Struthio camelus: one gene and its partners. The protein of the gene in region 4 interacts with the protein of the main gene of each other region in a biochemical or structural test. Links are inferred from orthologs where the notes say so. Each region holds a gene or a part of one and is shown on either strand. Other genes may lie near its edges.

Region 1 (7,596 bases), on a different chromosome or scaffold from region 4:
TGAAAGGCTTTAAGTGGCCAAAGTGGAGTGAGTTCTTTGCCAATAGCACCACCTACAGCCAGCTACAAGGAGTAGTTTAAAGACAGCAGGAAGCCGGTTGGAAAATAACGGGGTGGTTCTTATTCATGACTGATCTTTCTCTATTCTACAGTGACACTGGGAAAAGAAGACAAGCAGAGGGCACCTTGCCCACCTTTCCATATTGGCATAGTACCCTGGTTGGTAAATGGCATTCATTTATCTTCCAGTATCCTCCCTTGTTCTCCTAATGTGCCCTCCTTGCTTATCCCTTCCCCTTGCAGCTCATGCCTGCTCATTTACCTGAGGCTGCAAAAGCTCTGGGGCACACTATGTCCCTTGTTCCATGGGTAAAAGGCCAGGCAATGACACTGTGTAAGATGATGTTTAATAGCCACTTTTTGCTCCCATCTCAAATTCCTTCTGTAGAATATAGTGACACTTTCTTTCAAGATTCTGACTTTTCTTCTTCTTGCCACCTCCAGATTGTATCATTTGCCTTATAACTACAGGATAGGTTTACTGAGGGAGGTCTCCCTGGATGCCCACATGACTTATGCTATACCAGTTGAATCCTGCAGCTCCACACATTCTGAAATGTGACTAGATCAAAGTGTCATCCAAATGCTCCGTCATCTAGAGCTGGCGACTCTAGCTTCAAGAGGTCGGGGAGGGGGTCCTATTTTATTTATTACAGGAGTGCTGCTGGACAGGGAAAGGACAGAGCAAACATCTTGTTACTGGAATTGTGTGATAATTTTGTGAAGGGCAGCGCAGAGCTGAGGGGCTTTACCAGAGACATGTCTGGGGTACCTGGGAGTGGAAATCAGACAGGAGGAGGCACTCAGCTGTGTATACTGGCTGTGGTTGCTCAGTCCTTGCATGGCAGAGCCTAAAGCCAAGAGATGATACCTCCCCTGTGCCATCACTAGCCTGTCCTCTATGCCAGCCCACCCCGAGGGACTCTCAGCACTGGCAGTGCTGTCCTTACTGACTTCTTATTGGTGGTCCGGATGACACAGCAGCGCTGCTCCTTCTCCACGGAGACACTGTAAACTTCCTTGGGGTAGGGCAGGTTACGGATCCGCCACTGGAAGCTGGTCAGGGTATCCTTCCTCATGAAGACAGGCTGCAGCAAACAAGTACCTTTAGCAAGTCCCCTCCAGTTGTGTCTTCTCTTTTCCCTAGCCCTTCTTCCTGTACTATCTTGAGAGGTTTCACATGAGGCAGCCCTTCCTTCACACTCGAGCAGAGCAGGGAATAACTCAAACTGCCTGAGCATCAGTCTCCTAAAGCTGGCACTGCTATGGCACAGCCTTTACCCAGGGCACTCACTGCCTGCCCTGCCTGTAGGAGGCTGGGAATGTTCAACGAGGGGCTCTTGAACGACAGTGTTATGTGGAAACCGGGCCTCTTCCCCTACCCTAGGGACCTGCTGCACTTGGTCCTGGCTGTGTCCCAGTTTGCTGTGCAGGGCTGTGCTTGTGTTTCAGATTAGAGACTAACAGCCTTGCAAGCTGTTGGGATGAGAAGCTGATACAGGCAGTGCTATGCACTGCAGGTGTCATGTTCTCATGGTCACTGCCTCTGCTTTCCATCCACTGACTTGTCCAGGCACTGGCCTTCCTTTGAGGCTATTTTTTGGAAGCCAAAACAGGAGCTAGCCAACACAGCAACGTAGACAGTTTCTCTACTTAAGGAAACTCCAAAGCTCTTGAAGACTGCAAACAAACTAAACTGTGCCCTTTCTGCTCAGCCCCACACCTATGGGATGAGCACTAGGCCAGCTAAGGCTGCCTCTTGGGGCTATGAGTGATCTGCAGTCTACGAACTACTACTGTAAGCACGAGGCTAGGTTTCTAGGCGGAGCGGTGCCTGCAGACCCTTTACATACATTGGAGCTGCTTTCCTTTATGAGCTCTGATTCCAGTGTTCCCACGAGAGGTGAGGTTGGCTCTCCCACCTCAACCTGCCACTTGCCGGAGCCCCCTAAAGCATTCTTCTCTCGCCATTTTCTACCTGTGGAAAGGAGAAGGAGGGTTTTCATTATTCTGTTCCATAAAAAGTACTCCAGAAAATAGCCAACAAAATTGCCCAGCCCATTGAGATGATATGCCTTTTCCCTTAATTCCAGTCATTTCCACTTAGGTGTAAGTCGATCAGTTAGCTGGCCAGCTCCTAAAGTCAGAAAATCAGCACTGAGTCTCTCTCTTTTGTTAGTCGGTGCTGAACCCACAGAGGGCTTGCAGCAGGTGCCACACTGCAGTTGATGTGGTTTTGGGTAAGACCCAAACTGACATCTTGCCTGCTTGCGGTTGCAGAAGTTGTCAAAAAGCATACTTCACCCCAGCGCGTGCTACAGACCGAGAGGGCAATCCCTTTCGGTCCCTTCAAGCCTGTTGTGACAGAGTGGATGTTTAGGAGAGATCCTGGGTTAAAATAAGGTCTGCTATGCCCTGGAAGGGAGAGACCTCTGGGTCCAAGCTGGACCTTATTTACATCCCTACAAATTTCAGGGGCGCTAAAGGCAGAATTGTCTTCTGGGCCATTTGGGAGCAACTTTTTTCTAACCAGGAGGTCCCTCGGGAGATTACCCCAGGCTGGCGAGCGCAGACCTGCTGCCGCACGCACGCACTGGTGCCACTCGCCTCGCTCTGCTACGCCTGGGGCAGCTGGGGGCCAGCCGAGCGCGTCACTTACTCACTAACTGACCCGTCTGCACGTCGTACTCTTCAGCCATCTCTTTGCCATCCTCAAACAGGTAGTGGACCTTCTTCTTCCCTAGAGGCAAAGTGGGCGGTGAGGGTGGGAGGCAGACGGAGCCCCTTCTCGGAGGCCCTGTCCCTGGGTTTACGACCCTGTCCCCAGATGTATGACCCTGCCCCCCCCTCCAGTCTGGGGCCCTGTCCCCTGTTCAGGGGCCCTGTGCCCCCCTGCCCCAGTCTGGGGCCCTGTCCCCTGTTCAGGGGCCCTGTCCCACCCTGTCCCCTGTTCAGGGGCCCTGTCCTGCCCCCCACCCCCAGTCTGGGGCCCTGTCCCCTTTCAGGGGCCCTGTCCCACCCTGTCCCCTGTTCAGGGGCCCTGTCCCACCCCCCCTCCCAGTCTGGGGCCCTGTCCCGCCCCCCACCCCCAGTCTGGGGCCCTGTCCCCTTTCAGGGGCCCTGTCCCGCCCCCACCCCAGTCTGGGGCCCTGTCCCCTGTTCAGGGGCCCTGTCCCACCCTGTCCCCTGTTCAGGGGCCCTGTCCTGCCCCCCACCCCCAGTCTGGGGCCCTGTCCCCTGTTCAGGGGCCCTGTCCCCTGTTCAGGGGCCCTGTCCCACCCCCACCCCAGTCTGGAGCCCTGTCCCCTTTCAGGGGCCCTGTCCCACCCCCACCCCCAGTCTGGGGCCCTGTCCCCTTTCAGGGGCCCTGTCCCCCCCCCCCACCCCAGTCTGGGGCCCTGTCCCCTGTTCAGGGGCCCTGTCCCCCCCCACCCCAGTCTGGGGCCCTGTCCCCTGTTCAGGGGCCCTGTCCCCCCCCACCCCAGTCTGGGGCCCTGTCCCCTGTTCAGGGGCCATGTCGTCGTCCCCCCCCCACCCCCACCCCAGTCTGGGGCCCTGTCCCCCGCTCAAGGACCCTCTCCCCGGTTGCATGGCCGCGGGCTCGCAGGGCCCCAAGCCGCTGCCCGCCAGCGCCCCCCTCCCGCCCAGCCCCGCTGCGCTCCCGGAGGGCCGCCCCGGGCCGCCGGTTACCGTCCTGCACCAGCGCGGTCTTGCGGGCGGCCCGCAGCCTCTCCAGCCAGCTCGGCACCGCCATGGCGGCCGCCCGCCGTCGCCATGGCAGCGCGCGCGCTTCCGCCCGCTGCCGGAAGCGCCGCCATCGCGGGCCGGGCCGGGCCCGCCGGTGAGAGGGGTGGCGGGGGGCCTGGAGTGACGGGGGGAACCTGTCGGGCTGGCCCGGGCGGCCTTTGCGACTTTCTGCCTCCAGCTGGAGGCGGGCTGGGGGTTTCTTGCCGCTGCTGCGGCCTGAGGCCCCGGTGATGGCGGCGGCGGCTGCCCGCGCCCGGTGGCGAGGGGTGTTTCCCTCCCTAAAACACCCGTGGGAAATGAAGCTTTTGGCCGGGCAGGAAGGAGCTCCTCGTCGTTAACAGAGCGTTGCCTCTGTGCTGCGAGCACCTGCTGCTCGTGGTTTCCAGGGCCCTCGAGCAGGCTCGTCTTAAGTGGCTCCTTAGCGGTTTCTGCCGGGGGTCCTGCGCCCTCCCTTCCAGGTGTTTCCCCCGGGGCGCGCGCGCCTTGGCGAGGCAGCACGGAGAAGGCCCCGCGCCGGCCGGGCCTGCGAGCCGAATGAGCGGAGCCTGGCTTGGGGTGCTTGCCTGATACTGTGCCGAGCAACCTTCCTCTTCCTTAGCGGTGTTCGGCGTTCGCAGCGTTACCCTCCCGCGGGGAAGCGACGCGCAGCCCATGGAGCCGCGGGGGATCGTCAAGGCCTTTCCCAAGAGGAAGAAGGTGAGGGATGACTCGGGGAAAAGCATCCCTCCAAAGATCACCAAAGAGGAAGGAGCAGGGGTACCTGAGGGTAAGTGCAGTCTGCCCGTCATGCGTATACAGTGCTCATCTCCCAGCTTGTTAACTGGAGATGTGTTTCTCCCAGAGGCTTTTTCTGGCCCAGGTGCTTTTCCTGTAGAGGCCGCGACTGGCAAGGTTTGGTGTGTCCAGCCACAGGCCTGCAGCTGGTGGCCCCCAAAGATTGCCTGCCGCGGTTGATCCCAAGGAGTCCCGCATGAGAGAGGTAGCCTGACTGGTTTGGGACACTCTTTCTCTCACACTGACCTCCTGCCCTGTGTTTTTCCTCAGCAGAGTGGCTGAAACCAGTCACTGCCTATGTGTTGCGAGCTGGCATTGGCCAAGCCAGGGCAGAGATCTTCCACAAGCAAATTGTCCAGAATGGGGGTCGGGTCCACGCCCACCTCTCCTCGGAGGTGACGCACGTCATAGTGGCTGAAGACATGGACTGTGATCGTGCCTTTCGGCTCCTTAAGTTACCCAAGCTACCTTCAGGGTTGCAGCTAGTGAAGGCATCCTGGCTAAGTGCTTGCATTAGAGACCAGAAGCTGCTGAGTACCACTGGCTACAGTGTCTTTATCCCTTGCAGGTATGCAAATCCTAGGCTGTCGTTCTCCCCCACAGTGCCTCTATTCCAAGCTGAGCTGCACTGGTATTTCACCTCTGCTCAAGATCTTAGACTGAAACTCATTGCAGGTCCCTTGGGCATGGCTCAAAGTCATTTCCCCCTGTATAGTTCATGAAATTTAGTCGCTTTGTGACTAGTTACTGGTCTGTGGGATAGCAGAACTTGGAATAGAGCCCGGAAATGCTACCAGGAGTACTGTTGCTTGCTACAGGTGCTCAAGGCAGCTCTTCCTAATCCATCAGTGATAGCAAGGAGGTTTTTTTTTTAGAAATGTTGAGAATTAAATGCTGTTTTTGCTTATTGCAGATGAAAAATAGAGAGAGAACTGACTACTAGGCACGCAAGGAAACACAAACGGAGCAGCAGGCAGCTGCAGGTTAGGATCAAAATGTATTGGCAGAGCTTTGGAGGAAGAGTCTAAGACTAAGGTAGATAGGAGTGAAAGGTGCAGGTCAACGAAGAGAATGGAGACTGGGAGACTGAGCCAAGACCGAAGTAATGAATCTGTGATCTGAGAGAGCAAAATTCTTGTTGGTTGTTTGCTCCGTCCCTAAAAATTGCAGAAGGATTTCCTAGTCAAACATCTGGGGGCTGAGAAGTCTTCCTGCTCTTATGCTCTACTCTTATGCTACCTCTTATGGCAGGTACCTGGAGGAGGGAGAACTGCAAAAACAGCAGCAGCAGAAGCTCCTGGCTAGCAAAGAGATCCAGCCCCAGTCAGGGGACGGAGCTGTGAAACCAAAGGCTGAAGCACGCTTGGGAGATTCCTTGCCGCAAACCCTGGGCATCCTTGGACAGCAGCAGCCAGCTGAGGTGAGGCTTCCAGCACAGGTCATTCTTGTGAATGGGTCCTGCATACTGCTTTTCTTGGCTAAGAGCATCCCTGCAGGGCTATGATGCCAGAAAACATCAGGAAAGCGAAGGCGTTTGGCTATTTCAGTGGATTGGTGCTGGCAGATTTGGGCTGTGGACGTAGTTACTGCTTCTCTTTGTTCCTTTTAGGTGTTAAAAGTGGAAAAAACACCCCTTAAATTCCTGTCTCCATCAAAACATTTCCAGCAGAAGCAGTCCTGGTGCTTTGATCAGGCCAAGGCTCACTCTGGTGATCATGTTTCCTCTGCCTCCTTTTGGGGAATATTCCCTGGCCGAGAATATCTCCCTTTCAGGAAACTCTGATGTTTCATTCTGTGTTCCTGCTTGAGCCATACTGACCCATTCTCCACTTCTTGGCAAGCACCCCATTCAGACACATGTGCAATAGATCAGGTTGCCACTCAAATGATTGTGTGTTGTGCTTAAAATATCCATGCTGGGTTATTAATGGCCTCTGCTGTGAGTCGCCTTCTCCAGACCCGACCTTAGCTATCTTTTCTTTTTCTGCATTTTGCTCGTTTGCTGTTTTTTTTTTTTTTTTGGCGTTGGCATCGTCCAGATCTATCTGTAGCAAAGTTACTCCAGACCTCTGGGAGCCACAGCCATCTCATAGTGCTCTGATGCCAAGTTTGCCTGCACACTCCAAAATCACAGTTGCCAATTCTGTTTCATAAAACCCTGCAGCTCCTGCCTAGCTGGCAGCCCACTGAGGGCTCCTTTGTTTTGGGCTTTCCCCTTCTCTTGAATGTGTATGTGGGGAGCGCCTTCTCAGACTTACTATCCAGTGTGTTATAGACAGAATTGGCTGCTGCTTTCTAATCTCTTCATCAGCTTTGCTGTTAGCCCATCTTTATTGTTTCTTGTAACTCTGGTTAATTTAATGGCAGTCTTTATTAACGAATCTCACCCTTAACTGAAGGAAAGGGCTTTTGTACTCTTATGGATCCCGTGGCAGCTGCCTTGCTTTCTGCTCACGTTTACTTTAGTGATCAGACAGCAGTTAGAGTCTGTTTGAAACCGTATTGCTTTTTTTTCTTTTAAATTGCTTCAAACGATGATATTTTCTGTGGTTAATCTGTGCCCAGAACCATCTGCAGACTGGAGAAAAATCTCTTGGCTCAAGCTTTGGACTAGGTTAGTTTGGGGAGGAGAGGAGAATCCATTGGACATACTTTAAAGACAGTGCCAAGTACTTTTAAGACCTAGCTCTAACAGAAAAGCTGAAGCTGAACTCTTAGGTTGGAAATAGCCTCCATTTAAGCACAGCGTCCTTTCTAGCTTGGGCGAATGTTCTTCTCTAGGGCATGGTGAGTGTTCCAGTATTTTATACCGGACAAGGGCTGCTCCGGGAGGTCCTGTGTTTGGATGTGAGCTCTCTGTGAGGGAACTCTGTTATTGGTTGGTAGTTTCCTGCAGAGCAGCATTCGCAAGTTGTGCCAATTATTCGCAGACTGAATTGTGGGGCTGTTGCTCCAAGCTGCTTGCCTCCTTCTCAGGCAGTGTATTGCCTCAACTACTGGCCGTCAGCTGCTATCC
Region 2 (7,458 bases), on a different chromosome or scaffold from region 4:
GTCTTTTGTTTTTTTCCCCCCGGCGATGAGCGTCAAGAGCCCGCGCACACAATGAAGTTGAAATCTTTATTGCGTTAATACAAAGGACACCGAGAAGGGAGGGGAAGAGAACTGGTCTGGGAACCCAGGAGCGCTGCAAGTCGCTGAGCAGCGCTCATGAGCTGGCATTAGCTTAGGCAGCTTTCCGAGGAGTACAGCAAACGAACCGTCCATGCTTGCTCCACCCAGTAGTGCCCCGAGCAGTTTCCCAGTTAAGTCATCTCTAAGTGGAAGATTAAAAGTTACACCTACAGCTGCAGCAACAGGTAGTCTCATCAGCAAGCAAGCCCCTGGCTCAGGTCAGGGTAGGGGGCCGCTCAGCTTTGAGATCTTCTGTGCTGCAGCATGCATCCGCGACATTGTGCAGCTTGTGATCGGCGTCACAGAAGTTACCCCAAGCCGTCCAGTGAAGCACACAGCAGCTGAACACATGCAAGTTTAAGAGAGGAGTTCACTTAGATTTGGAGCTAGGGCAGCAGCATCACAGGGCTTGATGCTGAAACACAGATACAGGCTCAGGGTCACTCAGCTGAGTCTCACAGGTGGAAGACATATGGATCAGAGTAGGGCACCTCTTGAAGGCACCAGGCCAAGCCAGAGGAATTACTACAGAGGAGGTCTCCAGTAATGGGGTATCCGGTTTTGAACATCCCAGCAACCTTAGCTCTTCAGCACTTATGTCAAGGGACAGATTGGTATCCAGGGGGGCTTTTATTTCAGAAATCTCCCATCTGGGTGCTGGTGGCTTCTCAAGGGTTGAGATGTCTGTTACAAGCTCAGTGCTCCTGGATAGCAGATTCTCCAGTGGTTTGGCGTGCTTTTCTGTCTTGCATGGTGTTGATGTGTTGTGCGAGACCACATCCATCATGGAGTGGCACCCCAGGCCTCTATTGGGGTGCTCAGAAGGCAAACCAGACAGATCAAAGACAGTTTGACCACGGGGGGTCTTGCAGAAAGAGACAAGACTGCTATCAGAAACTGCCTGGGTCAGGCTGTGCAGGTCAGTCTTCACACAGCTGTTCAGAGACTCTGACTGCTTGACAACATACAGAGAGCTGCCTTTGGCTGTGTTGTCCAAGTCTAGGAGAAGCTCCCAGGTATTGGATTTTGAGGCACCGCTACAGTCCATATAACTGTGGACAGGAGAAGAATGGCTGTGGGTGGAGGCCCCTGTCACAAAGCCAGTTTCCAGGATTTCCTTTAGGGTCAGGATACTGGTATTGCTCCTCTTGGTGGACATGATGCAGTATCCCAGCAGTGTCAGGCTTATGAAGTTGAAGATGTCCCTGGTAGAACAAGTGTGCTAAAAAATAAATTTTAAAAATCCCGTTTCTCAGTTAGGAAAGTGAGGAGACAGGCAAGATCCAAGGAAAGTTTAGGCGTCCAAATTGTAGTTCGCTTCTAGTGTAACAGAGCTCCCTGTTTATTGGCAGTCAGGCCATGGCCTATTTACTGCTCAGAGGAGATCATTACTGTCTAAGTGACCTAAGAAGTGCTCCCCCAAACACTGCAGCATCCTTGCCAAGTTGAGGCAGAAGGGAGCATACCCACAATTGTACCTATTGTACCTTTTGGCCAGAGAGTCAGAGAAATCCTTGGATGTACTATTAGGCAGGGCTGTTTCCCATCTAGGGGAGGCCTGAAGGAACAGTCCTCCATTTGGTTAGATCAGCTCTCACAGCTGAGCTTCAGACACTGAATAGCATCACTTAATGTCTTCAGCCTGGATACCATTACTCTTAGTTTTGTCCTCTTGGGTGTAAGGAGTCTCAGTAAACCTCTCCACCTCCTAGTGGTACTAAGCTGGAGCAGGATGGGCCTTTTCCTGGAGATACCAGATATTCTGTTCTCATTCCTCAAACCAGGACAGCATTAATCTCAATTAGAGCTGAGTTGCTTCCCTTTCAGAGGGAGACCCTAATACTGGGTCCAGTATTACTGGTTAGGAGAAGTGAGAGTTTGACAGGAAGGAGTAGCTCCCATGTTGTATTTAGTCCTGTACATGGTACAGCCCCTGTCCACAGATCTGTGGGACCCCGTAGTCTAGACACGGGCCACCTGGGGAACTCTTAGTAGACAGGTCCTCTTGGCTGCTCTCGTCTTGCTCTGAAACCGCACGACAGTATGTTTTGCTCAGTCACTAAGAGTTTCCTTCACGTTCCCCCTCCCCTTGTGAGGGAAGTTCTCACCACTTGGCCAGTCAGCAACTGCTTGTTGACCAGACAGAGGAGGAATACATGAGAGCGAGATGGGGAAGGCAGCCAGTATCATTAAAAAAGCCACTTTATTTACTATAAAGGCAGAACTGTATAACTATGGGTCATTGTGAAGGAGAATTGTTCTTTAAGATACTGAAATACTTCATCCTTAAAGACATTTTAAATACATTAATACTTGAAAAATACTAAGAAAATAAAAAGCATAGAAAAAAAAACACCTGACTACTTACCTTCACCTTCTACAGAGACCCCTTTCAAGATCCTGATCCTTTTTTGATCATGTTGCTGGTAGTATTTTTATAGTTTTGCTAATTAATTAACATGCTAATTTCCTAATTAAGCTAGTTTGGGAGAGGGAGGAGTTTTAGGTCAATGGTAGTGATTGGGGGATGTGATAAACCACGCGGAAAGTAAATCCTAAGGCCTGCAAAGACTTGCTTGCGTTTTTTAACTTTGAAGCACGTCAGCAAGCAGCCTTCAAGAGCAAACAGCGTGTTTGCAGCTAAGTTTGAGCAGGACTGAGACCCGTGTCTCCTGACTGCAGGAGAAGGACGCGTATAGCGTTCCCGCCTTGCGAGCCCTAGACGGAAAGCTGCTATGTTTAGTCTGAAATACTGACCAGGGAACGTTTGTGTGCACAGACCAAACGCTAGGAGTTAGAATGAAAACAGGGGCACGAGCAGGTATGTGTAGATACCTATGCGCAGCGTGCACTGCAAAAACAGCAGCAGCAGTCCAAAATACGGTGGTGCCAATTCCTGGTGTGTTCAAGAACAGCTATAACTCGGGTAACTTCTTGTGCTTCTTTTTCAGGCCTGCTTTTTTTTGTGTGCGTGGTATAACAGTGCCGCCCCCTGGCAAGAAGGGATAAGGAAAGGTAGAGTGAAGGTTTTCCAGGAGAGCCCCAGCTGCTGGGAGCGTGCCGACCCGTGCCCTCCGCTTGGGATCCTGCGCTGCCCCCCTGGAGCAGTGGCGCTGGAAAAGCAGCATGGGGAAGGTGTTTAATTCTGATTGGTTTTTTTCTGCCCTCTCGATGGGAGGTAGGTGCCGGGAAGGCGAAGGGAGCAGCGCCGGGCGGCAGGCTGCGGGGATGCTCGGTGGTCTGCGGCTAAGAGGCTGGACGCGGCCGCATCGCGGCCAGCGCAGATCCCCTCCTAGGGCCGCCTTGTCGGACTGCCTGTTAAGCGAAGCTGTGCCCTGAGGGGTTCAGGCCTCTCTTTTACACCCCAAAAGGCAAACCTGTGCCTGTATCTGTGTCCGAAAAGTGCTAGGTTTTGCAAGGATAGCCACGGCCCTCGGTGGGACCCCCCCTGCCCCATGCGGGTGACCTGCGAGCGGCCCCTCGGCGAGGAGGGACGCGGGCAGCGGCGGCGGGTTAGAGCAGGGGCGCGAGGAGGCCCCTGCTGCGCCGAGGGGTCCTGGGGTGGCCACGCGGGGGCTGGTGGCAGAGAGGGCAGGAGAAGATTTGTCTTTAGACTTGTCCCGGCGCGGTTTTCTTTTTCAACTCCAGGTTACGGAGAGCGGTTCCCCGCAGGCGGACGGTTAAGCGGCCTCGGGGGCGTTTCAGCGTTGAGCTCGTCGGCAGGGCGGGCTGCGAGGGGGCTCCCCGTGCCGGGGTCCCTGGCCGTCCTCGGGGCCCGCCAGTCGAGGGAGCGGACTGTCACGTTTTTGTCACGAGTTGTCGCGCTGAGGGCTGCCGGCCCGCAGCGGGGAAGGGTGTCTGGGGGTCCTGCTCGAGGCCCCGGGCTCTGAGGGGGGCTCTGCGCCGGGTGGGAGCGGGGCCGGGCTGTGAGGGGACCCGCGGGCCGGGGCTGGGGCGGGCTGTGAGAGAGCCGCGGGCCGGGCCGTGAGGGGACCCGCGGGTTGGGCCGGGCCGGGCTGCGCCGTCCCGCGCGCGCCTCTTTGTGCGGGCGGGCGGCGCCGGGGCGCAGCGCGCAGGCGCGGCCCGGCCCCGCGGCGGGGGGGGCCGCAGTTGGCGCGAGATAGGAAAGTGCCTGCTGCTGCCGCCGCGCTGCCGCCCGCCCGCCTGGCCCGGCTCGGCCCGGCCCGGCCCGGCTCCCGCCCGACCTGCGGCTCCGCGCCGCCAGCCCGCGGCCGCCATGGCGCGCCGCAGCCGCGGGTGAGTGGGGCCGCCGCCTGCGCGCGGGGCTCCGTGCCCGCGCCTTCCCGCCGGGCGGGCGGGCGGGCGGGCGGAGAGGGGCAGGCGGGCGGGCGGGCGGGCGGTCAGCGCTGGGGGGAGGCGAGGCGCAGGCCGGCGGCGGCCCTGCCTGCAGCGGGTGCCAGCCCGGGATTCCCCCCCCCCCCCCCCACTACCCCCGCGGCGCCTGGGGCCCAGCCTGCCCCATAGCAGGCGGCAGGACCCACTGCCGGGCCCTCGGGCTCTGCCTCGGCCTGTTCCTGCCCGGCGCCCCGCTCAGCCCCGCTGCACGGGCGCTGCGTTTCGGAGCAGGGCAGCGGCCCGGCCCCCCGCTCCTCAGCTGCCCTCTGGGGCAGGGCTGGCTGCTCCCGCTTGCCCTCGCTGGTGTGGCGGGCTCCGTGCCACAGGCCTCTCCGCTGGCGAGGCCGTGGTCTGTGCCCTGTTCCTGCCCCTGAGCAGGGAAAAAGTGGTAAAGGAGACCTAAGCGCGTGCTTGGGGCTGCTGATGTGCAGCAGTCGGTGCCCCCAGGATCACTCTCCCAGGGCCAGCGCAGCTCCGTGGTGTGGGCTGCCCAGTCCGCTGCAGAAAGCTGCCCAGCATCTCCCTGTTATCGTTGGCCTTTGTGGGTGCAGTGCTGGTGGGATGTGCTTGCAGGAGTCCCTGCCTGGGTGGTGTGAGATGACCTCTCCCTCGAAATCTTGCCCCAAAACACTTAGCTTCTCTTCTGAGAGCTGCTCTGGGGCCTTCCAGACCATTTTGTTCTTGTTGAATTGTTTTGGGACTGGCTTCTCCTCCTTTTTTCATCTCTTTTGTTTACACCGGCAATCAAGGAAGGAGACTGATGATCTGCAGAGATGGAAAGTGGTGCCAGCCCTTAGACACAAAGCCCTCCCAGAGGGGAAAAGCTAGCAAAAATCAAGAGAAATGTTCCTTTCCTTGCTCTCTTGGCAGCATAGGAATTGCTAGCACACACCAAGATTTCAAAGCTGAGGACCCCTTTTAAACCTTCTGTATCCGAGTTAATGTCTGTGAGGTGTTGAGATTCAGCATGGGGAAGACCGTAGATCTGGAGCTCTGCTCTCTGCTCTGGAGGTTGCTCTTTCTGCTGTCTCTTTATGGGAGGAAGAAACAATAACCTTTTTTTGTTTCTTTCTTCAGTGAGGACCAAGATGATTTGCATTGTCAGGATACTGACTCGGATGTGTCAGAACAGCGGGACAGCAGGTGCAAAGTCAAATGGACACAGGAGGAGGTGAGTGAGAGCCTGGCACTTCCTGAGAGCAGGTGTTTCTGGGGAGGGTTGCAGATACTGTGGTTGTTTGGGGGACTTCTGGCATGGATAAGCTGTAAGAGAACAGCTGGACACATGGAAGGAAGTCGATGGCGTTTGGTGAGGATGTTCATTTATCATATCCATTAGCAGCTGGGAAAGGAGGCTGTCCCTGGCCTCTGGCATGGCACCTGAGGGGTGGGTGCCTCCATCCAAGTCCTCACTGACTGGCCACAACATCGCCTCATGTCTTGTCTCGTTACTGGAAAGGCCTTGGGCCTGTTTTGCTGACCTGAGCTGAGATCTTAGTGAGGATGGAGTTTCAGGTGAGTCTAAAGTGCAGCAGGAGGGTTGGAGCTCAGACCACTTCAGCTTAGGCATCCGAGTCCTGAGTGAGGCGTCTAGTGCCTGAGACTCTCCAGTGAGCGAAGAGCGGTTCCAGAGGATGGCTGAGGCGTTGCTGGGCTGAATCACACTGTGGTGCTGTAGAGATGCCCTCCCTTTTCTGTAGCGAGAGCAGAGAACGCTGAGAGTGTTGGGATCATGGTTTAGTCATCCTGGCCGAGAGCCTGAAATTAGTTGGGATGTTCTCTGCCTCCTAGTTCCTCCATAATCTCTATTCTGTGTGAGAACTACAAAATATCCTGTTGCTCCTGGAGTTTGAACGCTGAGTAAGAATGGTCTTTGTGCAGAGATCGAAGCCTCTTGGGCTCATGTTGGGCAGGGAATTATTTCTTACCTCTTTGCTCAGCCGGAGCACATGGGCAAGCTGGGCTGTAGCAGACTTTGCCTGATCTGTAGGAGTAGGGGAAAGGTGTGGTTTTTGACAGAAGTGCTCTAAGGGCTCATCAGTGCTGAAAGGCAGGAGGCTACTAGGTTGGCAGCGATGCACTTGGACAGCAAAAGCAGTGGTTGAGTTGAAGAGAGACCGTCTGCTCAGGGATGTGCTGGGACTGGATAAGGAGATAGCCCTGGCTGCACGGTACCGTTTGCGCTATACTAGAACAGAACGGAGAGAGGCCTGAATGTGACCACAGCAGCAGAGCTTTTGTATTATATCTCACTGTACAAGCTGGTCCTTGTACAAAGCCTTGGACCAAACAGTCCATGCGCTAGAGTGCTGCTAAAGGACAGCATGAGCTGCCTTCCTCCCCAGGATGCAGAATAATGAAAAACTTCTTGACAGACCAAAAGATCATGCTCCTTTTTTGATGCCATTGGACCTGGGCATGCCTGTGGCATCTATGCCTCAGTGTATGTGAAAGTAGATGTCGTTATTCTTTGCAGGATGAGCAGCTGAAGATGCTAGTGAGACATTATGGGCAGAATGACTGGAAGTTCCTGGCCAGTCACTTTCCTGTAAGTGAACCCTTGCCCAGTTGGGAATCTTGGTGTATGCCTTTTGCTTCTTGTGCTCGGTGCACTAGTGATCTGTGTTTGTGCAGCAGTTTGCACAGTGGGACTTTGTTCTGTGGCTGCAGCTCCAGGCTGCTATTATGAAAACAGTGTTCCTTCAGGGCAGGAATACATCCTTCTTTCATAGAGGATGTTTGAGGGTGAGTCTGTTGGAGCTGGGATGAGAAATCGGGACTCCTGTCTCTATCCTCCGTGTCCAGTGCCCTAGCCTATAGTATGTATTCTCCATGTGCTTCTGCAGGTTTTCCATGGGACAGCCTGTCCCCCTACTGTCGAGATGTGCATGTGGGGACTGCTGTTGCCGTAGAGGCTTTTGAAGCCTCCACTCTAACACAAGGGTATTCTGATTCCTCCTCCCAGAATCACAGCGATCAGCA
Region 3 (7,486 bases), on a different chromosome or scaffold from region 4:
TCCTGAAGGGCACAATAGCGTGAAGGGATCTGTCTCAACCTGGTGCTAAAGAGAGAAAAATTTGCCATAGAATCATATTTCCAAATGAGAAGAGGAATTAAAAGTTTGGAGGTTTACTTTTAGCATGTGCTATAAAGGCTAACGAAGATTGAATAATACACCTAATAGTTAATCCTACCATTCACATAGAATTCTATATACATACGTGTGTGTGTGTGTGTGTGTGTACACACACACAAGAACACGTATTTACACATATATACATATATGCATATACATTAACATACATATATACCTATATATTCATATCTACTGCTAGGACAATAACTACCTGTAGTTTCTCATTTCTAAGTAGTTTCTAATTTCTAATTCTCAGTTGCTAACTTATGAGCAGGTGTTCTTGGCAGCAGGGAGAGGTTAGACTTTCCTACCTCTCTCTGTGCTGGATTCTTTCATCAATTATCTTCCTGGCTGTGTCCTTTCTTTTTTATAAGGTTAGAGCATAATACATACACAGGGAGAATTGTGCTAGCTTAATTGACCTAGGAAGAGGTTAACAGACGTTTTCCAGAGTCAGCACTGATTCTTTTACATTTTTCAGTAGATATATATAAAAAAAAAAAATTCGATTCACCTGCAGATTCTGGCAGAGTGGATGCAATCACACAGCAACGTTTTGATCATTTCTTCTCAGACCTCCCAGAGGTTGGTTTTGGCAACTGCTTGTCTGCCTTAAGCAAAGTTCTTCGTGGGCCTGCCTTGTCATTTGGCTTCTCATCCTACAGATCCAACAAAAGAGATAAAGTCACAAGAGAAGACAGTGCAGCAGTTTGGCTTGCAGAGCATTAGACATGCCATTCTGTTTATCATATTTAGTTGATGTAATTTCTTCTTTCCCCTCTGATAAGCTCCTAACTTAGGTACATTGTAAGAATTGGAAGCTCAGTGCTGAATGAGAGCTTTCTCTGCCTCATCTGCAGAGAAGTAAAGGGATTTCTGCTTATTCAAGCTAAATGAAAAGAGGGCATTTCTCTTTTTTTTAGCAAAGGAAGAGAAGCTTTGCCTTTACCAATTCTACATTCTAAATAAAATAAAAACAAGCTAGAGAAGATGTAGTAGAAACAGAATACCTAATCTATCACTCCTGTGAAGATGTATATGAAGAAAGACATTGATGAAGAGGTGATTTTCGACAAGCTACTCATATGAGGAGAGTCATGGCTAACTTGACTGAACTTCCTCCTTAGACAGACAAGAAGCAAGAAGAGAAACACAAATGAAGGCCAGTGTCAAGACTGGCATTTCTGGAAGACTAAAAAAAGAGTAGGACAACAAAAAAAGACAATATTAGATTATATTACAAGTGCAGCTACACTAGTGAGAACAAATAAACGTAAATTTGACATGATGGAGAACAGAAATCACTGGAAAGACTGAATGAGGGATTGCGATAAATTTGGATCAATAGGAAAAAGAGGAAACAGAGAGGAACAAGTCATCAGTGTAGACAAATGACCGAGTCTAAATGATAAGGATTTTAGGTGTTAGAATAAAGAGAGTCTGAGATATTATAAGGAAAGAAATGACATCTGGACCAAGCTTAGATTAGAAGATAAAGTGAAAGGGATTTCTCACTCTGAATGAATACAGCCTGAGTGACAGGGAAAAAGGTAGCATTGACATCATTAACAAAGAAATGCTAATAACGGAAGCTCTATAAGAAGTGCAAGGATAAAAAAGGTGGTTCTACATTATCAGAACTCAAAGGCACAAAGGGAGGCCAGCGAGGTAGGCTGTAATTCTGAACTGGCCAGGAGGCAGCAGAGCTATACGTGCAACTCAAAAATAATCTCCAGATATCTCCAGATAATATCCAGATTTTTGAATAATTAATGCACTGCTTGTATGCAGTGTACAGTATGCAGAAATGATTGCTGGCAGGCTGTCCTAATAGGTAAATTTAGAATGACAGTGCCTGTCATTAGCACTAGGACAAGCCTGCTCTCATTTATGCTTATGCTATCCTTCTACCTGCTATAGGATTACATGGAGAAAAGAAAGAACAGAATTTGGCCTGCATTATTCTGTTATTATCCCTCACTTAATTCATGTTTGCTGTAATCTGCTCTTAAATACTCTCGCCCTTAAATAAAATTGTTGAGAGTTTACTTTACTTAGCTAAATCTCTAGCTGCTGCACTGGCTTATTAGAGCTCTTAACAGAATGTGCAAATTAGAATTGCTAAAAAAAACCCAAAGAACACCGCAGAAGCTGAGCAACATGTTTCAACACCTTCTTTCTAAACTGCACGATAGGATACTACACAGCGAGTAAAGAAGGTGGAATCTGTTTCCGATTTTACAGTTTCTGTTAATTTCATCTTATTATGAGACAATAGCCAAGTTAGAGTGTTGCCTTATGAACCTTGACCACTTTAGGCTTTCCTGTTATTTACAAAGGGGTGAAGTTACAGATCTCTACGTGAAGCACCCAGTAAACACAATATTACGTTTCATATTCTAGTGAGCAAGAGTCCTAGTGTATTCAAATGCAGGACAGCTAGTCTTTACCATTAAAGAGCAATTCTTTTTAATGTCAGAACAAAAAGAAATGGTGAAAAAAATGTTTTGATAAAAGACAAAAAGTGAAGTGCCAATTATTTTTTTAAACATGCAACTGCACTAGCTTCAATAAAATTCCACCACTTCAAAAAACAGCAAAATACAATTCAAATAAGATAGCCTCTTTACCTGGCACTGGTTATTGTTACTTGACAGTTTGGGGCCCAGATGTTCAGTAACGGATGAGGAATGGACAGTGAAACGTAGAAGAAATTGTTTTAAAACACCTCTGCGCTCTTAGGAGCGCACTGCTTAGGTGCAGGGGATGTAGTGCAGTGGTTCATTGAATACATCACTATCCTGCTTTAAGCTTTCCCCTGTGCAATGGGGCAAAGTTCTGTAATGCTCATGTTAAGTTTCAGTGCTTCAATAGTCCTGAAGAACTACTCATGAGTTTCTTAATTACTTCAGTATTATCATACATACACCCAGGGAGCTGAGGCCTTCTCAGTTTGTAACCTATGACCACTAAAGCTGCAGAGTTTTCTTGCAGAGGGCCTAGGAACTATAGCTTAGAAAAACAGGCCTATTGTGAGTAGGCCTAAATCTGCTCTACAAATACAGCTCCACGAGATAGTTTTCAGAGTGGCACAAGTCAAAAGAATTTGAAACCCACTAATCTCTGTCCTTTTCATAGGAGGTAAGGCATAAACGAATCTTTTTCTTTACTGTTGCACGTTTTTCTTATGCACTATCATCCCATGCTTGTTTGTGCCATGGCCAGTGGCTATAGCGCACTCCAGACTCTAGATGCTATATATTTTTAACTTTGCATTCTGTGCAACTCTTTTGCTATACAACTAATTAATAAAGCAAAACAGCAGGCCAAGTTATATTCTCCATTATTACTGGTGTAAATGAAGAGTTGTTTCACAGAGTCTCAAGTATTTATCTGGATTTATAGCAGAGCTAATGACAACAACACCTTATCTGGGCACCGTAATTATGTCATAATAATCACCTATAGGAAATAAATGTATAAAGGCTAAATATTGTTGTGCAGAGCATGAATACCCTGAGCAGTTCCAGACATGTGGAATCAGCAGATGCACAAAACAGCTCTGAGTTACCCGTTGTGCATTAAACGCACCCTCATATGTTTTCCTCTGTCTAGGCAGTTATCACAGAGCTTTTTGCCTCGCAGTTCACAGAAGTGCAAGAACCCTCCAGCGCGCTTTCCCAGCAGCATTTTCTCAAGCAGCACTTGAACTGTATCTGCGTGCTTGGCCCTTCAGCGGGCACGAGGAATTAGTACGTTGTTTAAACAAAGATCCCTCGTTCTCCACCACGTGCTTCTGAGCACATGTACCAAAAAGCCTGAGCGACAAACCTGAAGCCGCGGGCCAGGGCCGAGCGCCCCGCTTCCCGGCGCTCAGCCCGCCCGTCGCCGCCGGCCCCAGCAGGCCCTGGGGCCAGTAACCACTCCTGCGCTCACGCTTACTTCCTTGCTGCCGACCCCGCTGCCCCTTTCGGGCTGCCAGGGGAGGGCAGGGGCAGCCCGCTCGCAGGCCGCTGTCCCGGGTAACGCCCACCACCGCCGCCGCCTCAGCTCGGCTCCCGCAGCGCGAGGCCCGAGGCGCCGCGCGGGCTCGCCACAGCCGCCACAGCCGCCACGAGCCCGCGCGCACCGGCCGGCCGGCCGCCCCCTTGGGCGGGACGCTCCCCGCCGGCTGGCCAATAGCCTCCCGCTTTCCCTCGGCCGGCGGTCCCATTGGCCGAGGCCACGGTTTCCGCCGAGGGCCGGGATTGGTCGCGGAGGGGCATTCGGCAAAAGGCGGCAGCAGGCAAAAGCCCGTTTCGTCGCGGGAGCCCGCGCGGCGCGTGAGTCTGAGCCTGCCCCTCCCCCACCCCAGCACCGCCGGCGGGGCCCCTTCCCCGCCACCCCCCTCCCCCCCCACCCCATCCCGCGCTGCCGGCCGTTGGGCGCTGACTGAGGCGCCGGTACCGCTGCCCTGAGGGGCGAATCGGTCCGGTGCGGCCCGGGCCGGCGGGCTTCCCGGGGCGCCCCTCGCCCGGCCCCGCGCTGCGGGGCTCCAGCGTGCCCTGCGGGGAGCCCGGCGGCGGGGGGCGGGTGCCTTGGCGGGCTGGGCCCTGCCCGAGCGGCCGCTCCGCTCTTGTCCGGCGGGCTCCGCCGCCCGAGCGCCCAGGGCCCTCTCCGCACGGGCCTCCTGACGCGTTAAGAGCCTCCTTCAGGGCGCACCTCGCTGCGTCCGTGGGTCACTGCAGGAGCCGTTCACACATCGCGTACCTTCAACTTTGCCATTTAATTGGTAACTTCTGCTCACTTTTTAATATTTATGCTCTCAGACTGCTGCTTAAATGCAGCTGAAAGCGTGCATTTGACCAGGAGCCTTGCTACCAGGAGCAGTCTTGTAAAGCTAACCTGCTGTGACACATCCCAGATGTTTTTCTTTTGTCTAGCAGTAGTCGCATAAGGTAGCTCAAACTGAAAGCGTGGAAGTGTGATTTCTAAGTGCTTGTGCTGTAATGAAATGATTTATTGTAAATTTGTGGAAAATGCAAACTTACTGCATGACTTGATCCAGCCACAAAATTTGCCTTTCTTAAATAACAAAATAGATACACTAATACCATCCTTTGGTTTTGGCACCCCCTGCTTTTTCCTGCAGTACCAGTGGGTATGCTCCTGTTTGAAGAGCTTTGTGTTTTAGTGATAACAGATTGTGTTACAGGTAGTGACATCTGCTTTAGCCAGAGATTTGGCAGTAGTATCACTAATTTTTGTGTGTGAGGTTCTAATATCTGACTCAAAAGACTCTAAAACTCTGCAGGTTGTTTGAACCTGTCACTACCTGGTTGTTTCTCTTTTTTTATATTGGGAAAAACAGGTTTTTGTTTGTTTGTTTTTTGGAGATCTGTGATTTAACTGTAAAATAATTCTTTGAACTGAAACTTTGGATCATTCCTCTTCACTTTTCGTCTGTAACAGTGATTTTTTTGAGCATTTATTAATGTAAAAACTAAACATCTGACTGAATCAAACTTGGCTAAATGTTCTGTTAAGCCCTCTTCCAAATCAGCACGCTGTTGGGTTTTTTCTTAACATACTCAAATATTCTAGGTATTCTGTAAATAGTTATGCAAATATTAGCTTTTATGTTTAGCAAAAATGAATGTAAATGACACCTTGAGATACTGAGTCCCTTTTACCCTGCTCATGGGCAGGAAGTCCTGGAACATGTGTTCCCAGGGTGTTTTGCAGGCAGACAGGAGCTTTCATCTTCTGTATCCCAAACCAGCTGGGTGTAGCTAGCCTTGAACTGGAAGAGACTGTAGCTGAGGCTGGGATGGCACTGAATCAGAGCAAGTAAGCTGCAGTGAGAGGCGGAGTGCACTAATTTGCACTCCTTCCTCTGATGAGGAGGCCCTGCCATTTCAGGTGTGGAACAGGCTCATCCGCTTACTTGACGCTAGTGGAGGGAGCGTTTAACTGTGAAAGGCTGTAGACGGATCTCACTCCATCAGTTTCCAAGTCCTATTCTCCTTATCTATCCTTTACCGCTTCTCCAACGAAGCTTCAAAAAAAGGCTGCTGCTTGTCACTGTTCTGCTGCATGGGGATAACAAAGGAAAGGTAGCCAAAATTCTTTGGGGACAAAAGTATATTTCTAGCTTCATACCTGAAAACAGGTGAATCCTTTCTGCTGACAGTTTCCAAAATATGTTTCCTCCTTGTAGGAAAGTTCAGCCAGAAGTTTGGCAAAGTTACAAGCAAGAAAGATCTTTAAATATGTGCTAGGTGACTGTAATAGATGCAGATTCCAGGCTCATTTATCACTGTGGTTATTCTTCCCTAGTGCTCTATCTCTTTCCTCCTTTTTTTCATGATATAGAATTAGCGGCTTCTGAATTATACACTGTAAGTACACTACAGCTTGCTTATTCTTACAGCTTGCTTAATTTCCAAGATTGAGCAAGAGGCATATCAAAACAGCATGTGTGCATTTCTTGTTATGGTGAAAAGGAAACTAAGAATTATACTTCTTGTTGATCTCTAGAAGAAAGAGAAATCTCCCATCATATTGCAAAGATAATCATTTTCCTCTCTTATAATTTGTCTCAGGAGTGGGTTTTTTTTTTTTTTCCCGTTACTCTGTATGAGTGTTGCACTACGCAGATATTTGTGTGGATCAATTCCTTGCTTTCCAAAGCAAACTTTAAGGAAAGGATAATGCTTTAATGTGAATGAGTAAACACTAAAGATGAAAGAGAATCACTTGTCTAAGCTCATACTGCAGTCTTCCTTCCCTTCCCCCTTTCTTCCTCTTTCTTGGAGATAGAGTGGGTTTATTGGTTTAATTTTTCTCTTTTTCTGGGATGATGGGTAAGGCTTTGTTGTTTTAATTAGCACAGAGGAACTCCTCAAACTCCCTGAATCTCATTTCAGGAACTGTGTGAAGGAGAAGGAAGTCTATTACCAGATATGTTTGCTCCCCCAGGTGTCCAGATGTGGTCCTCAAAGTCTTGGATTTTTTTTACTTCAGGTTAGTTTTGTGATGGAGACAGTGTTGAAGTCTCATTGTGATGAACAGCACCCCCAAGAGGCTGAAGAATTGCAGAGGAAGCAGGAGCAGAACAAGCAGCTTTCAGGTATGTGCTAAAACAGGGACCACTAATATTACTTTTTGTTGCTGGCATGCTTTCTCACTTCAAGGACTGTCAGGAGCAATATACTGTTTGTATATGGTCCTATTGTATAAAGAATTTGTGAAATGAAAACTCTTGAGGTTGCTTTTGTTCTTAAGCTTTTTAAGCTTTAAGCAGTAGTTGTCACAATTTGCTGGCCCCATTATTTATTTATTACAGAATATGTTACAAGAAGATACTTGTACACCAAGAAGGCAG
Region 4 (7,107 bases):
CCAGCAGGCTGAGCCGCGTGCCGGAGGGGTCCGAGGGCTGCGCCGAGGCGGTGGCTGCTGGCGGCAGAGCGAGAGCGGAGGGGTCGCGGGGTGCCCGTGGGGCGCCCGGGGACCGGGGACGCCCCTTCGCCCGCTTACCGGTGCTGGGCGCCGCGGCGGTGCTGGGCGCGGGGCCGGCGCTGGTGGCGGTGGGCCGCGCCGAGGGCGGCGGCGGCCCCGTGGTGGGGTCCACGAGGGGCGGCGCGGAGCTGCCGCAGGGGCTCAGCGGGATGGCGGCCTGCAGCACCAGGCGCGGGGCGAAGGAGCCGGCCTCCAGGTAGGTGTGGGTGACGGTGGCGCTGCGGGAGATGAGGGTGCCGCTCCCGTCCCCGAAGTCCCAGGAGTAGGAGACGTCGGCGTCGCGCAGGTAGCCGCTGGGGTCGTGCAGCCGCACGGCGAAGGCCACGGCGCGGTTGCGCACGAAGCGCCCGGCGCCGCCGGCCGCCCCCTGCACCTGCGCCACGTCCACGGCCAAGGGCACCTGGTCTGCGCGGGGGACACGGCGCCGTCAGCGCGCCCGCCGCCCCCCCGGTGCCCCCCGCCCGCCGCCCCGGCTCCTACCCGTGACGCTGAAGCGGGTGCTGGCGCGGCCGAGGGGGATGAACTTCTGGCGGCCGCGGTAGTGGTAGACCACCACGTCCATGGTGTAGGAGCCGAGGGGCACGCCGGCCGTGCCCACCGTCAGCCGCGACGCCGGGCCGTCCACCACCTGCCAGTACCGCCCTGCGGGGGAGCGGCGTCAGCCCCGGCACCGGGGGCTCCGGGGGGCCCGGCGGCACCGGCGCCGGCGGTCTCACCCCACGTCCACCACACGTAGACGAATCTCCCGCGCTCGCCCCGGGCGCTGCGGGGAAAGGGCTGCCCGTCGGGGAAGACGCCGTCCGAGCCCTCGGGCAGCTGCTCCGGGAAGACGGGTTGGCCGCGGGCCACGCGGGTGCCTGCGGGGAGGCGCGGGGTGAGCGCGGCGGCGGCGGCGGGGGGCGCAGCGGGGCGCCCGCACCGGCCGGCGCTCACCGTTGACGGTGCCGTCGCGGCTCCAGACGACGCGGCCGTCGGGCAGCGCCGCCTGGCCGCCGGGGAAGCGGAGGGCGATGGAGAAGGTGGCCTTGGCGCCCGCCATGGTGGGCGCGTCGCTGCTGATGTCGAAGGTGACGTTGCCGCCTGCGGAGGGGCGCGAGGCCGGGGCTCAGCGACGGGCGCCGCCGGCCCCGACCCCCCCCCGCCCCGGCCCCGGCCCCCACCTCGCCAGCAGTCCCTCTGCCAGGGGGCCCCATCCTGCCAGGGCGGGTAGAGCCCCGCGTCCCAGCTGCGGAAAGGCGCCGGCGCCTGGCTCCACGTCTGGCTCCGCCGGCTGCTGCCGGGGCTCCGGCCGCCGGCTCCTGGGGGACAGAGGGGTGACGGGGCTCCCCGGCGGCCCCGGGCGCGCGGCCCTCGCGCCGGCCAGACGCCGCGTGATGGGCTGGGGCCAGGCCGCGCGCGGCGCCGGGGGGCCGAGCCCGTCACATGGCGCCGCGCGCTGCCCAAGCCCTTTCATGTGACTCTCAGCTGAGCCGGCGGCGGCTCCGGGCCCGGCGGGGTGGTGAGCCCCCCCCTCGCCGCGGGTGCCCCCGCTGTCCCCCGGCTCGCAGGGGCGCCCCGGCCATGCCGCCCGTCGCGGGCAGCGCGGGGTCCCCGCGACGCGCCCCGGCCCCGCTCGCACCCCCCCGCGGTGCCCAGCCCGGGCATCAGCAGGGGCTAATCCTGCTCCCCTCCCTTGGGCAGGGGGCCGGGGCCCACCAGCAGCCCTGTTAACTCCCCGCCGCCCCCCTGGCCACCCTGGGGAGCCCGGCAGGCCCCATCGCCGCCCGGGACCGTCCTGGCCACGGCCGCCCGGTGTGGGACTCTGGGTGCCACCGGGACCCCGCACCCATGGGCGAGCGGCCGCCCCGCTCGCGGCTCCCCCGGCCCCACTTACGGCGCTGAGCTGCGGCCAGGGCCAGCAGGGCCCCCAGCAGCGCGATCGCCCCCTGCACCCGCATGCTCCGGCCGTCGTCGCCTCCCGCGCTCGGGCACTGCCAGGGCAGAGAGGCGAAGGCGCCGGCGCCGGGGGGATAAGAAGGGGCTCTCGTTTGCATAGTCCCACCCCGCGGGGCCCGGCCCCCCCGCAGCGCCCAGCTGCCCTTGTGCGCGTGGGGCGCGCGTGCGGCCCCCCCGCCCCCGGCCGGCCGGTCACACGCTCCTTCCACGCACCGCAGCCCCCTCGGGGGGTCTGCTGCCGGGTCTGGTCCCGGCTGCTCCCCTCCGCGGGCCCTTTGCACCCGCGCAGGTGTCCGGCCGGGGCAGGGCGCCCGCTCGGCTCGCCGGGAACCGGGCTGGAGCCCGGCACCCCGGGGCCTCGGCTGCGGTCACGCAGCGCCGCGCGGCCGGCCGGGGCGGCCACCTGGCCCGCTCTCCGCTCCCTGCAGGCCGCTGCCCCGCGTGGGCGCGCCGGACTCCTCCCGCGGTTTCCAGCCCCTTCCCCTGCGCCCAAATCGCTGGCGACGCCACCGCTGCCCCCGAGAGCGGGGCTCCGCGCTCAGAGCCCGCCGCGGCCGCCCTGGCGCCCAGCTCGAGCCGGGCCCTCCTCCTCGGTGACACCGCTGCCGGCTCCGTCCCCTGCCAGGTGGCTGGCCGGGCCGGAGGGGAGGTGGCAGCATCGCCCCGGCCGCGGCCGGGGACCCTGCGCTGGGCGCACCTGGGGACGGGGACCCCAGCCCCGGCCATGGGTGACCTTCGCCAGCACCCAGCACGACCCCGTCCCCAGGCCACGGGGGAACCGCGGTTAGAGGAGCACGGCCCTGGCCCCGGGCTGTGGGGGTCCCCGGGCTGTGGGGGTCCCTGGGCTGATCCCGCCCTGACTGCGTCCCCGGGCCGTGGGGGACCCCGGGCTGTGGGGGTCCCTGGGCTGATCCCGCCCTGACTGCATCCCCGGGCTGTGGGGGACCCCGGGCTGATCCCGCCCTGACTGCATCCCCGGGCTGTGGGGGACCCCGGGCTGTGGGGGTCCCTGGGCTGTGGGGGTCCCTTGGCTGATCCCACCCCAACTGCGTCCCCGGCCCGTGGGGGTCCCCGGGCTGTGGGGGTCCCTCGCCAGATCCCACCCCAACTGCGTCCCCGGGCTGTGGGGGTCCCCGGCCAGAGCCCAGCATGTCCCTGTCCCAGGAGGACACCCCCCCCCAGGACAAGCCGGGTCGGCTCGGGAAGCAGCTGGTCCGGGGGGGCTCGGCCCGGCCTCCCCCCCCCCCCGGAAAGGTCCCCGCGTCAGCGGCCTCGGGGCGGGCCTGTCCCTTTAAGGGATCTCCCGCGTCGCCCGGCGCGTCGGCGGCAGCCCCGGCCAATGGGGCGGCGCGGGGGGCGGGGCCGGCGGAAGGCGGGAAGCGGCGGGCGGGCGGCGGCCGCGGCAACATTGTAGCGCGCGGGGGGAAGCGGCGGCCGCGAACGTTCCATCCGCCCCGCGCGCCGGCCCCGGCCCCGGGACCCCCCGCCCCCCCCGACCGGCCCCCCGGCCCCCGGGACCCCCTGCACCCCCCCCGCCCTCCCCCCGGCCCCGGGACTCCCCGACCGGCCCCCCGGCACCGGCCCCCCCGGCACCGGCCCCCGGGACCCCCTGCACGCCCCGGACGGCCCCCCCCCCGGCACCGGCCTCGGTGACCCCCTGCACCCCCCCTGCCCCCCTCGGGACCGGGACACCCTGCCCCCCCGGCACTGGCCCCCGGGACCCCCTGTACCCTCCCTCTGCTCCCCCCCGGGATTGGCCCCCCCACCTCCCCCCGGGACCGGCCCCCCCCCGCATCCCCTGGGACTGGCCCCCAGGACCCTCTGCACCCCCCTCCGGAACCTCCCCGGGACCCCCTGCACCCCCCCACCCGGGACCGGCCCCCAGGACACCCTGCACCCTCTCGGCACCAGCCCCCGGGACCCCTGCATCCCCCCCGGGAGTGAGCGCCAGGACCCCCTGCACCAGCCTCCCGCCGGTGCCGGGCCCGGCCCCCACCCGCCGCCCCATGGAGAACTTCCAGAAGGTGGAAAAGATCGGCGAGGGCACCTACGGCGTCGTCTACAAGGCCCGGAACAAGGTCACGGGCGAGGTGGTGGCGCTCAAGAAGATCCGCCTGGACACGTGAGGCAGCCCCGCGCGGCGGGCCGGGGCGCGGGAGGGGCCGCGGCGCCCCCGGGCAGCCCGGCCCGGCGGCTCGAGGGGCCCGAGGCGGCGGCCCAGCCCGCTGAGCCCGGCCCCGGTGGCTTCACCCGCAGGGAGACCGAGGGCGTCCCCAGCACGGCCATCCGCGAGATCTCCCTGCTCAAGGAGCTCAACCACCCCAACATCGTCAAGTAAGCGGGGCGGCGGGGGGCCCGGGCGCCTGGCGGAGCCGCCCCGGCCGCGCTCGCAGCCGGCCCTCGCCTCTTCGGCCGGCCGGTTCGGGGGCCGGCCGCGGGAGCGGAGCGCCCCGCTGCCTGGCCGCGGCGCCGGGCCCAGGCCTGCACCCCGCTCGCTTCCAGGCTGCTCGACGTGATCCACACGGAGAACAAGCTCTACCTGGTCTTCGAGTTCCTGCACCAGGACCTGAAGAAGTTCATGGACTCGTCCTCCATCAGCGGCATCGCCCTGCCCCTGATCAAGGTAGGGCCGCGGCGGGCGGCGGGCTGGCTCCCGGCGGCCCCGCGCCCACCGCCCGCCCTCCGCCCGCAGAGCTACCTGTTCCAGCTGCTGCAGGGCCTGGCCTTCTGCCACTCCCACCGCGTCCTGCACCGCGACCTCAAGCCCCAGAACCTGCTCATCAACGCCGAGGGAGCCATCAAGCTGGCCGACTTCGGCCTGGCCCGCGCCTTCGGGGTGCCCGTGCGGACGTACACGCACGAGGTGAGCGCCCCGAGCACGTGCCCGGCCTGCCGGCTTCCCCGCACGGCGGCGGGAGCGACGGCTTGGGCCGGCCCGGCAGGGCGGAGGAGCCAGCGCCCGTTCGCCCCTTTCGGCAGGTGGTGACCCTCTGGTACCGGGCCCCCGAAATCCTGCTGGGCTGCAAGTACTACTCGACGGCCGTGGACATCTGGAGCCTGGGCTGCATCTTTGCCGAGATGGTGAGCGGCCCCCCGGGGCGCCCCTGCGCGGGGAGAGGCGCCGAGCGCGGCCCGGCCTGGCTCCCAACGCTCCGCAGCGGCGCCGGTCCCTGTCCCCTCGCGTCCAAAGGCGCCCGGCGCCCTGGGGACGAGGCACGGGTGCGCCCGGCGCCCTGGGGACGAGGCACGGCCTCGCCGGGCCGGTTCTGCGCGGCCGCACGCCCGGGGCCGGCAGCCCTTGGCGTCACCGCGGCGCGGGGAGCCGGCTGACGGACACCGGCGAAGAAAAGGGGCTTTGTGGGCTCCCGGGCCCCGGAGGAAGGGGCCGCGCTGGCCGGGGCGAGCGGGGCCGTCATGTGAGCCCCGCCGCCCGGGCTGGGCATCACGCGGCCGGGCAGGGACACGTCCCCGGGGCCGGCACCCTGCCCGGGGCCAGGGCCTGCGTCACGAGGGGCCGGCGCGGGAGCTCACGCGGCGCCGCGTCATGAGGGGCTGTTTGATCTCTGGCCGAGGGTTTGCCCCTGTCGGGCAGCCTGGCCCTGTCTGGCACCCACCAACGCGTGCTGGTGGGGGGAGCTTTGGTTGGAAAGGGCAAGGCGTCCCGGGGCGGAGACCTGCCAGTGCGGCGCCCGCCGGCTCTCGCCCCGTCACTGGGCGCTTTGGGGAAGCCAGGCGGCTCCGTAACGCCCGCGGGCCCGGCCAGCCCCTGCCTCGCGTTGGGGTCAACCCGGCCCGGCCCGGCGCGGGTGCTGGGGCGACGGCACCGGCCGCAGCCCCAGTGGAGCCCGGCTCTCCACGGCTCTGCCCTCTCGCCCAGATCACCAGGCGAGCCCTGTTCCCCGGAGACTCGGAGATCGACCAGCTCTTCCGCATCTTCCGGACGCTGGGCACCCCGGACGAGGCCATGTGGCCGGGCGTCACCTCCATGCCCGACTACAAGCCCAGCTTCCCCAAGTGGGCCCGGCAGGACTTCAGCAAAGTGGTGCCGCCGCTGGACGAGGAGGGGCGGAAGCTGCTGGCAGTGAGTGAGGGACGCGGCGGGTTGGGGGGGGGGGGGGAGCAGGGTCCCGCGGCTCCCGCGTCCCCGGCCGCCCCCTCACCGCCCCCTTCTTCTCCCCAGCAAATGCTGCACTACGACCCCAACAAGCGGATCTCGGCCAAGTCGGCGCTGGGTCACCCCTTCTTCCGCGACGTCACCCGGGCTGTCCCCCACCTGCGCTTGTGACGCAGCCTGGCCCCAGGGCTGCCGCCCCTCCTGCTTGCACTTAGCCCTCCGGGCTCTGCCGGCGCCGAGCCGGAGCCCTCGGGACAGGACCGGGCAGCCTCCCGCTGCCCAGGCAGCGCCCGGAGAGCGGGGGCCGCCTTCCCTGCCCGCGCGCACGCCCCCCCGGCCCCCCGCCGCGGAGGCGAGATGCTGGGAAGCACCTCCGGCCCCGGGGGCAGCGCCGCCGAGGCCCCAGCCCGGGGCTCAGGGACCCTCTTTCCCCTCCGCAACCGCCCTCCGGCCCCGAGCGGGGTCCGAGCCCCCGGGGAGCGGAGCAGGTCCCCGCGTGGGGCCACCGGCGTGCAGCTCTGCCGCTTGCAGGCGGGCGCGATCCTGCCCGGGCCGGGCCTGCTCCGCTCTGGCCCCACGGAGGCCCCCGTCTCCCCTCCCCTGGACTTCAGGCACTTACAGCCCTTCCCCGGGAGACGTTTCGGGCTGCGGAGCTGCGACCTTGGGGACCCCGTCCCGGCTCGGGGCTGCGCATCGCGCCAGGCTCTCGCAGAGGCGAGGCGGGTTCAACCCAACTCCCTCCCCGATGTATTTATTTCCCTGGAAGCAGCCGGATCTGTCCAGGGCTGCTCGCACCCAGCCCTGGGGACGATGGGGACCGTGCGGGCAGCCCGGGCCAGGGCAGCTCCTGCCACTGCCCTGCTCCCAGCCCCGGCCTGGCGGGGAGGGCTGCGACCAGGTCCCGGGCAGGGAAACCAGCCCCAGCTCCCTCGGCGCGA

What was found.
Region 1: of the proteins of CDK2 (region 4) and POLL, one has a biochemical effect on the other in vitro, tested with the Homo sapiens proteins (2 studies listed by BioGRID). The link is inferred for Struthio camelus from reciprocal best matches to the Homo sapiens genes CDK2 and POLL.
Region 2: of the proteins of CDK2 (region 4) and MYBL2, one has a biochemical effect on the other in vitro, tested with the Homo sapiens proteins (3 studies listed by BioGRID). The link is inferred for Struthio camelus from reciprocal best matches to the Homo sapiens genes CDK2 and MYBL2.
Region 3: of the proteins of CDK2 (region 4) and CDC7, one has a biochemical effect on the other in vitro, tested with the Homo sapiens proteins (2 studies listed by BioGRID). The link is inferred for Struthio camelus from reciprocal best matches to the Homo sapiens genes CDK2 and CDC7.

The regions. Positions count from the first base shown.
Region 1 is NC_090948.1:16,303,656-16,311,251, reverse strand, and holds the start of POLL (DNA polymerase lambda), read left to right. Parts: upstream 1-4,457; coding exon 4,458-4,572; exon of another isoform or gene 4,573-4,818; intron 4,819-4,850; coding exon 4,851-5,148; intron 5,149-5,831; coding exon 5,832-6,000; intron 6,001-7,596. Other genes in the region: protein DPCD, read right to left, coding at 1,014-1,147, 1,913-2,037, 2,731-2,799, 3,750-3,921, 4,370-4,459.
Region 2 is NC_090959.1:5,762,819-5,770,276, reverse strand, and holds the start of MYBL2 (myb-related protein B), read left to right. Parts: upstream 1-4,288; 5' UTR 4,289-4,357; coding exon 4,358-4,377; intron 4,378-5,553; coding exon 5,554-5,647; intron 5,648-6,952; coding exon 6,953-7,024; intron 7,025-7,441; coding exon 7,442-7,458. Other genes in the region: uncharacterized protein, read right to left, coding at 521-1,279. UniProt on the Homo sapiens protein: Transcription factor involved in the regulation of cell survival, proliferation, and differentiation. Transactivates the expression of the CLU gene.
Region 3 is NC_090949.1:19,220,478-19,227,963, reverse strand, and holds the start of CDC7 (cell division cycle 7-related protein kinase), read left to right. Parts: upstream 1-4,352; 5' UTR 4,353-4,442; intron 4,443-4,696; exon of another isoform or gene 4,697-4,891; intron 4,892-7,125; 5' UTR 7,126-7,137; coding exon 7,138-7,231; intron 7,232-7,486. UniProt on the Homo sapiens protein: Kinase involved in initiation of DNA replication. Phosphorylates critical substrates that regulate the G1/S phase transition and initiation of DNA replication, such as MCM proteins and CLASPIN.
Region 4 is NC_090969.1:689,574-696,680, reverse strand, and holds the start of CDK2 (cyclin-dependent kinase 2), read left to right. Parts: upstream 1-3,912; 5' UTR 3,913-4,061; coding exon 4,062-4,177; intron 4,178-4,311; coding exon 4,312-4,389; intron 4,390-4,557; coding exon 4,558-4,678; intron 4,679-4,747; coding exon 4,748-4,918; intron 4,919-5,034; coding exon 5,035-5,136; intron 5,137-5,932; coding exon 5,933-6,136; intron 6,137-6,235; coding exon 6,236-6,340; 3' UTR 6,341-7,107. Other genes in the region: melanocyte protein PMEL, read right to left, coding at 1-525, 601-762, 837-977, 1,054-1,200, 1,281-1,418, 1,994-2,057. UniProt on the Homo sapiens protein: Serine/threonine-protein kinase involved in the control of the cell cycle; essential for meiosis, but dispensable for mitosis. Phosphorylates CABLES1, CTNNB1, CDK2AP2, ERCC6, NBN, USP37, p53/TP53, NPM1, CDK7, RB1, BRCA2, MYC, NPAT, EZH2.